Linked DNA regions of Coturnix japonica. The protein of the gene in region 2 binds, or shares a complex with, the protein of the main gene of each other region. Links are inferred from orthologs where the notes say so. Each region holds a gene or a part of one and is shown on either strand. Other genes may lie near its edges.

Region 1 (3,816 bases), on a different chromosome or scaffold from region 2:
GATTTGGCATTGGCAGCCACCTGCTGTGTCTTGAAATGTCTCTTCCAGACCTGCCAGCAGGTCCCACTTTTCCCCACATATTCCCCAGCAGGGCCATAAGCATGAAACGGGGAGGTCAAGGTGAGACAGATGACACGGGGATTATGCAGCTTAGCTCCCAAGCAGAGAGACGTCCAGCCTTCTGCATTGCAGTGACACTCATTGCAATGACACTGTTGCAAAGGCAACAAATACCGTAATAGTGAGTGAGAGATGACTGCAGTGACGTGCAGGTGGAGGAGTTTGGGTTAAAGGCTGTGTCAGTGCCTATTTTTACAGCAGCCTGCCTTGCGGTTTGTTTGAGAGATTTCTGAGGGCATCTCATGAGAAAACCCTGTGACATTCTGACATAAGTGATCTGCAGTTATCAGAACTGAGTTCAGAGCACATCCAGAAGTGGGGAGCACAAAGCCTGATGAAACACAGCACCATCTCCATGACCAAATCCAGACCTGGGTCTGGAATTCACGTAATCATCAGTTGGTTTCTATGCAAGTCCCATCCAGTTGGGAAAAAAGGCTTCTAATGGGGGAGCGCTCAGATAAAAGCGACGTTTGTGGTGTGAAACATGAAACTCTGCTGTACCATGAGGGCACCATAAAGTGATAAGAGTGTCAGCTGGGCCGAGTTAGCTGGTTCTTCGCAGAGTGGCTTGCCTGGAAATACGTGCAGTGGTAAACAAAACTGTTTGTCTTTGTCTCCAGTGCACATATCACCCCAATCTCCTTGGTTTCTAGGGAATTATCAGCTGAGAGAGGGATGATGAGTTTCTTGGGTCTATTTTTATGAGTACTTTATGACTTACCTAGCAAAAAGGCTAACGCGGGCAGCACTTAGAGGCATCACAGCTGTTTGCGCTCCTTGAGGTGGGAGGGGAAGGATATCAGCCCCAGGCTCTGGCAGCAGGGCAATGTTACACTTCTTACACGCTTTTCCAGTGTGGTGACACAACTGGCTGACCTGGCAGGAGAAAGGGGTAAGAGCATCATCCCATATTCAGGTTGGAAAAGATCTCTAAGATCAACAAACCCAGCCTGCCCCACCATGCCCACTGACCACGTCCTTCCCTGCCACATCTCCATGGATCAGGAATTCCCCAGGGATGATGACCCCACCACTCCCTGGGCAGCCACGTTTTCAGCCCCACTGGAGAGCCCTTAAGCCCTTCTGTTATCCGTTCTCCATCTTCCACTGGCTCCCCTAGGCCTGATGCCCCTCCATGCCTACTTGTACTGAGTTGTACACTAGAAGTGCACATTATGAAATAATTAAATACTCTTTTTTTTTCCCTCACCCCTTCCTTTACTTTGACTGGGCATTCACAGAGGTCCTCAGCTCAGGCTTTGAGTGAGATCACGGCCAAAGCACTGAGAGCCATAAATGCCACGGAGAAAGCGGTCTCTGAGTCACTGCAAGGACAGAGCTGGGGCAGTGGTGGCGGTGCCTTGCATCTCAGCATGGAGGATGGGAAAGAGGCAGCTGAAGCATACCGTGAGCTTGAGGAAAATGTAAGGTTCCCCAGAGTCTCTGTGAGCAGGGAGGGATTTGAGGGTGGGATTTCAGTGGACCCCCTCTAAGCCGCTTGTTAGTAGGTGTGCTGGAGGTCAAAGGATGAGCACTACAGGCATATACGTATAAGGATGCTGCGACCCTCCCAGCTACGAAGCTGTGGGTTGTGAAGCTCAGGGTAGAATTTAGGGGAAGGAAATGTTTCTGTTTGCCTCTAAAGGACTAACTGAGGGTTGACACACTCTGATTTTCTTATATGCCTCAAACAGTAGGTTATTTGTAGTACATAGACACAGAGGTCCTCCTAGCTAAGTGCTGTAGCTGGAGATCTGAGCTTGGGCATCACACCTGTGCTCCAATAGCCATGCCTTCTGTCATCCCCACTATCCCATCCCATGATTCTGAGCCCCTCCTGCTGTCCAAGTGAGCCGTGCTCCTTCCTTTGGGGTCTGACTGGTGCAAGAGCAACATTGGGCTTCCTGCTTCTTCTGCTCACTGGAACTGTGTGCTCATCCCACTGTTCCCTCGGGTCCCTGGTGAGTCAGGTCCCACTGCTTGCACTCTAAGGAATGCCACTGGCCTTGAGGATGTTTAATGATGCTCAATGGCCTGGCAGCAAACAGTGCCTTTGTGACTCACAGACTGAATGTCAGTGCTTGGTTATGGATATGCTGCCTCAGGGTTTTCTTTGGGGTCAGTGGGAACCTGTAGGACATGAGATGTGGGTGCTCAGCATGCCAGCAGATAGGGCTGGAGGAGCTGGCTGTGCATTAGCAGTACTGAGATTTTGGGATCGTTCAGCACAACTGTGGCCTTCTGATGTTATTGTATAGACAAATTAACTTCTTCTAAATTACTTTGCTTGGACTTGCATTCATGTAGTAGCCAAGGGGCAGTAATTGCACTTGAGTAACACATCTCCTCCCTAGCTTGCTGCCAATGGGGCACGCAGAGACAAAGAGCCCTGCCAGAACTGAGCAGTGCTGCCAGGGCTGCAGGGTGGGAAGGCAGTCATAGCAGCATAGCAGCAGGAGAGGAGTGAATAGAAAGCTTAATGGTGTGATCTATTATTTTTTTTTCCCCTTTTTATATCAGGTCTACCTGGCCGCTGGGAAGGCCTACCAGCTGGAGACAACCTTGACAGAGCTTGAGGAGGGGGCTCAGCACTGTGGCAGGACCGACTCAGAGCTGTCGGAGCTGGAGGACAAGGTGGCCTTGGCGGCTGCACAGGTACAGCAGGCAGAGCGTGAGGTAAGGGCTGACCAGGAGCTGCTTCACCTCCATCCCAGTGAACACAGCTTGTTGGGAGTCTTCCACATGCTGCCCACCTGTTCTGTTTTCCTCCCTCTAAAGGTATCAGATATTGAATCTCGGATCGCAGCTCTGTCCGCTGCGGGGCTGACAGTGAAGCCGGTGGAAAAGACAAGGAAGAAATCAAATGGGCAGGTGAGTGGGGAGGATGGGGGTTGTGAGCACAGGAAGGGCTGCCTGCCTGCTCCCAGCTGCTTCCTGGCTGCTCTGAACCTCACTGAGGATGACATGGGAGGCTGCTTTGGGGTGGAGCAAGCCCAGAGACCTGTGCCCCTTTTCTGTCTGCAGGCCTTCCACATCTGCTCCCCCAATCCCACCAGCAGCCCCGGGGAGTCTTCGGATGATGTTAAGGTGGGTACATGTTAAGCATGTGTTTGATAAGCCTTAGTTCCATGTTCCAGGACACAGGTTTGAATGCTTAGCACAAGCAGCAGTGCATCCTTTGGAGGTACCTGTGTCCTCCCACTCATTCACTGCTTTCCCTCTCTTGCAGGCAATGTCTGGGCCACAGGTCCTCAGGAGGAGGTTCAACTGTCCCTTTGAAATCACTGGTAAGAGCCATGGCTCTGTCTGTGGGAAGACCTTGGCTCATGAGGTGCTTGTGAGCACCCCCTATTTTCTCCCTTTTTGGAATGCTGTTCCCTGTGCTTGTGTCCTGCCAGTAGAGCCTTATCTGTAGTGGAGGATCAGGGACAGCGCTGGGGACAGGATGAGGTGGCTCCCATACAGGTCTTGGTGGTAGACAACTGCCTGTCACATGGGCCATTGCTCTGCATTGTGGGCTTCTATCACCTTAGTGGCTCTGCCTTCAAAACTAGCCCTCAACACCCTACCTAAGACCATTGCTTCTTGCTTTAGCCATTTCTTCTCACTTGGTTGCCCTGGGGAGCGTATCCTTTGCCCTGCTATCTGCCTACCTCTGCTACTGGTCCTACTGCAAGGTCAAGAGCCAAGCCA
Region 2 (3,816 bases):
CGTGAGCTCAGCAGCCTAATTATTTACATTAGACAAGATGTAAGGAGGTACTCTTTGAATATGGTGTATGGAACTGATTTCAGACATCTATACAAGTGTACTCTCTAGGTAGGTAAAATGATTTCTTGGTACGATGTGCTATCTTGCACTAATTGAGTAAGCTTAGGTACTCAGATTGGCAAATTCTTTAAATATAAAAATCTGACTAGACTGAGTATATGTATTTATACACAGTATATAAATTTACCATATTCTTCAAGCACAGGTGCAATTATTTAGATATCAGGCCTATTTACTGTTGTACAGCTGTAACACTAATTAAAAATACTGTTCAAGTATCAGACATACAACCAAAGCAGTTAAGTCTGGCCAAAACGTGAGTGGACACCAGGCATCTGTACATCTGCTCATGTACCTGGGACTACATCCTTACCTGCTCAGTTTCATGTTTGTATTTGTCTGCCCATTCTTCAATTGTCTTCTTCTCAGTCTGAGTCTGCTGCAGCTCCTTCCGGAGCTTGGCAATCTCCTCCTGAAGGCTGAGAACACGGTTGGTTGCATTCTTAGCCTCCTCCTCACTCATCCGAAGCCTCTCCACATCACTTCGAAGCTTCTCTGTCTCTGTACTGTATGTGTTCTCCAGGTTATTCATCTTCTCCAGCAGAGATTTGTACTCTTTATTCTTTGCAAAACACAAAGGAGACATCGAGGCAGTTGGAGAAGTTCTGGTTTAAGGAAGCTTTCTGATTGCTTACAGAATATACCAAGACAGGGGAACAAGAGAGCAATTCTCTCCTTTTCATTCTGTTTCTGCAGGAGAATTGCTTAAAGGGGTGACAGAACAGTCCAGTCTTTAAGTTTACATAATAATGTACTGAACTAAAATCAAACAAAGAACCCACTAACACCAAACTCAATCATCTCAAGTTCCCCTTCAACTGAGCAACTGGGGTGCTTCCAATGAAAGACTGAAATTCAAGGAGCAGATGCTTTCTCTCAGTGCTTCTGAGAGATACAAACAGATGTTTTATAATTTCAGTTCAAATGCTGTCTGCCTTTCTCTTCTATCAGCATTCTTCAGCAGAGAAGAGATTTGCAATGAATGCCCACAGTGCTACAGAAGAAAATACAAGACTGCCAAGTGTTTTCCCAGAGCTTTACCTGTTCATCAATTTTCCGCTGCAGCTGCATGATCTTGTTCTCCAAGCCAATGTGAAGCTTCTTGTAGCGTTCCACAGACCGAGCTTCTATCTTCAGTTTCTTCAGTTCTCTCTTGGCCATCATGCGCCGGTAACAGCATTGCAAGTAAATAATTGCCTTCAAGGTCCTATGGTAGTGCACTCGAGCCAGCCAGCCTCTTACATGCTTCTGAATAATAATAGACTTGTGCTCTCGAAGCATCTACAGTTAAGAAAAAACACCACAAGTGTTATTAGAGTTACACCTGCTAAGTTAAACTGACTCCATAATGAAAGGTATAAAGATGATGTAAATAGAGACGCCTTAGTCTGAAAAGAGAAACTACTGGGGAAGTGTAAAAGAAATGAATCTGGAATGAAAATAGAAAAGAAGACATGAATAAGGAAGACAAGAGAAAAGAAAAAGAAAAGGAAACAGAATTAAGGACATGGAAAGAAAGAACAAGAGACATGTTAAAGAACCAAGCATTCCTTTCTGCTGATGTCAGATGAAGCTAATTATAAAAATACATGGTACCTTTTGGCAAGATTACAAATACAATCCAGATGACTAGAATGGGTTTTTTTATTGTTTCTTTTACTTTTAAACTTCTTAAAAGCATTGATATATGCAGCACAGAATTCATCAATATGCAGCACAAAATCACTGCACTTGACACATAGTGCAGCTATTACACATTATGACCCAGAGCACATTATAGCAGCTGTTAGTAAGAACAGCCATACCCTAAGATGACTGAATTACAAGCTCTAGTACGTGTTCTTTCCTTTTCTTTCTTTTTGCTTGCCACTCCTTATACTTGTCAGCCGGAGAAATGTTTTTCTCTCTATTTATTTTAATCAGAAATTTTAGACTGTGATAATTCCAATTCATTTGATGGCAGAAGTTTCAGTTATAGATTTGCAATGTAAAAATAATTAGATGTAACTATTTTTAAAAAGTCACTTTAATGAAAAATAATCAAGCAATCAGACAGAGATTTCCACTAGGAAGATTCCACCATGTGTTTCTGGATCCTGCACCCATGGATTCAAACAGTGATCCCCCAGGTCTGGAGCACCTGAATTCCCATAGACCACAGCTAAGCTGGGAGAGCACATGTAAACCCACAAGGCTCCCAGAACTCTGAGAACTTCAGAGTTCGCTTAATAAAGCTTCTGCAAATTACAAACTTTACTCTAAAAAGCAAAACTATTTAAGATCTTGTGTTACTTACTGGATTTGGTAGCTTAAAGATCAAACACAATTTCACATTCTTACACAGATTTACCATAAAGCTGATAAAGCAAACCAGTACTGTAATCAAATTTTATTGCATTTTATACTTCTTATCAAATGTACTGAAATGTGTTGAAAACATTACCTTTTCAGATCAATGACTTTGAAAGGTTCACTGGCAAAGTGGCAATATTCTAAGAAATAGAAGCTTTCTGCCTTAGCATTCATTTTTAAAGAAAAAAAACGAGGACTTGAAGCACCAGTGCTCAATTAAAATGTACAACTTGGTAAGGAAACAGATCCCGAGAAACTACAGCAAGGTCAAAAGCCAAAGTCCTTCTGATTGCAAGCAACAAAGTCAGCACTCCTCCCTCATCCATACCTGCACCCTGAAATAGTCTTCCATGTTACCCACAGGTGCCCTAACAACTAAGATACAACTAGCTTGCAACAGCGTTATCACCTGGAGCGTGGAAGCAGTAAGTCCCATAGAGTACCTCCATTGTGCAGGGATGGTCCTCATCTGCCAGTGAATTCTCACACCCATGCAATCCAGTGAGAGTATCAGAAAAGTCACTTAATGTATCAGGTATTTTCTCCTGGAAAATATTGCCTGATAACCTAATATCAAAGTTCTGGAGGAATTAAATTCCTTCTTAAGCAAACAAGCACGTTGCAGAAGCAAACAAGGCTTTCTCAAGCAAACAAGGCTCAGGCAGAAGCTTTCTCCAGGACGTGTGAAATAGATGATTCAACAATTTCAAATTCCTTCTGTAAGTCATGTGACTGCCAACCCATGTCCTCTGTTATAAAAACAACAACAGATACCTTTCACAATCCTAACTACCAACACGGGCACCATATATTATGTACAGTCACAGCTCAGCCGAGGGTGCAGTCACAGGACGACCTTTCAGTTTCACTCACCTGCAATCATCATGAACTTCAGAGCAGATGTGTTTGCCTCTGCATGCACAGCAAGCAGAGCTTGTGCTTCTGAGTCTGGACATCCCTGTATCTCAGCTTTTATAAAATAACACCTCTATGTGGGTGATACCTCCATGCCATGTCTCAGATGCAGTTAATGCACCTTCCGTCCATCTTGAGAACTTTGTGTTTTACTGTGGTGAACAATTTACTTCTCAAAGGGGAAATTCCCTGACAGGCAAGTACAACCACCTCGTATGTTGGTCCCTCCAAAAACACACAACAGATTCATAGATTCATTAAAGTTGGAAAAGACCACCAAGATCATCCAGTCCAACTGTGTACCCACCATCACCCTGCTCACCGACCCATTTCTATTACCAGGGAATAAAATGGATCTGTTTAACAATCACGCTACAGGACAGATGTGGTATATACCACTCACATGACTAACTTCAGGTCTACAGAACC

What was found.
Region 1: the proteins of MYO5A (region 2) and MLPH are in contact, whole or in part, in a crystal structure (PDB 4KP3), measured with the Mus musculus proteins. The link is inferred for Coturnix japonica from reciprocal best matches to the Homo sapiens genes MYO5A and MLPH. Residues at the interface, in NP_034994.2 of Mus musculus: Asp1524, Val1527, Arg1528, Leu1531, Thr1532, Ile1535, Asn1536, Lys1539, Ser1570, Gly1571, Leu1588, Thr1589, Asn1590, Phe1591, Asp1592, Leu1593, Ala1594, Glu1595, Tyr1596, Val1599; in NP_443748.2 of Mus musculus: Lys184, Lys186, Arg187, Leu188, Leu189, Ser190, Phe191, Arg192, Asp195, Phe196, Glu197.

The regions. Positions count from the first base shown.
Region 1 is NC_029522.1:8,696,610-8,700,425, reverse strand, and holds part of MLPH (melanophilin), read left to right. Parts: intron 1-1,364; coding exon 1,365-1,547; intron 1,548-2,643; coding exon 2,644-2,994; intron 2,995-3,147; coding exon 3,148-3,210; intron 3,211-3,352; coding exon 3,353-3,410; intron 3,411-3,816. UniProt on the Homo sapiens protein: Rab effector protein involved in melanosome transport. Serves as link between melanosome-bound RAB27A and the motor protein MYO5A.
Region 2 is NC_029525.1:7,693,852-7,697,667, reverse strand, and holds part of MYO5A (unconventional myosin-Va), read right to left. Parts: intron 1,402-3,816; coding exon 1,162-1,401; intron 683-1,161; coding exon 434-682; intron 1-433. UniProt on the Homo sapiens protein: Processive actin-based motor that can move in large steps approximating the 36-nm pseudo-repeat of the actin filament. Can hydrolyze ATP in the presence of actin, which is essential for its function as a motor protein. Involved in melanosome transport.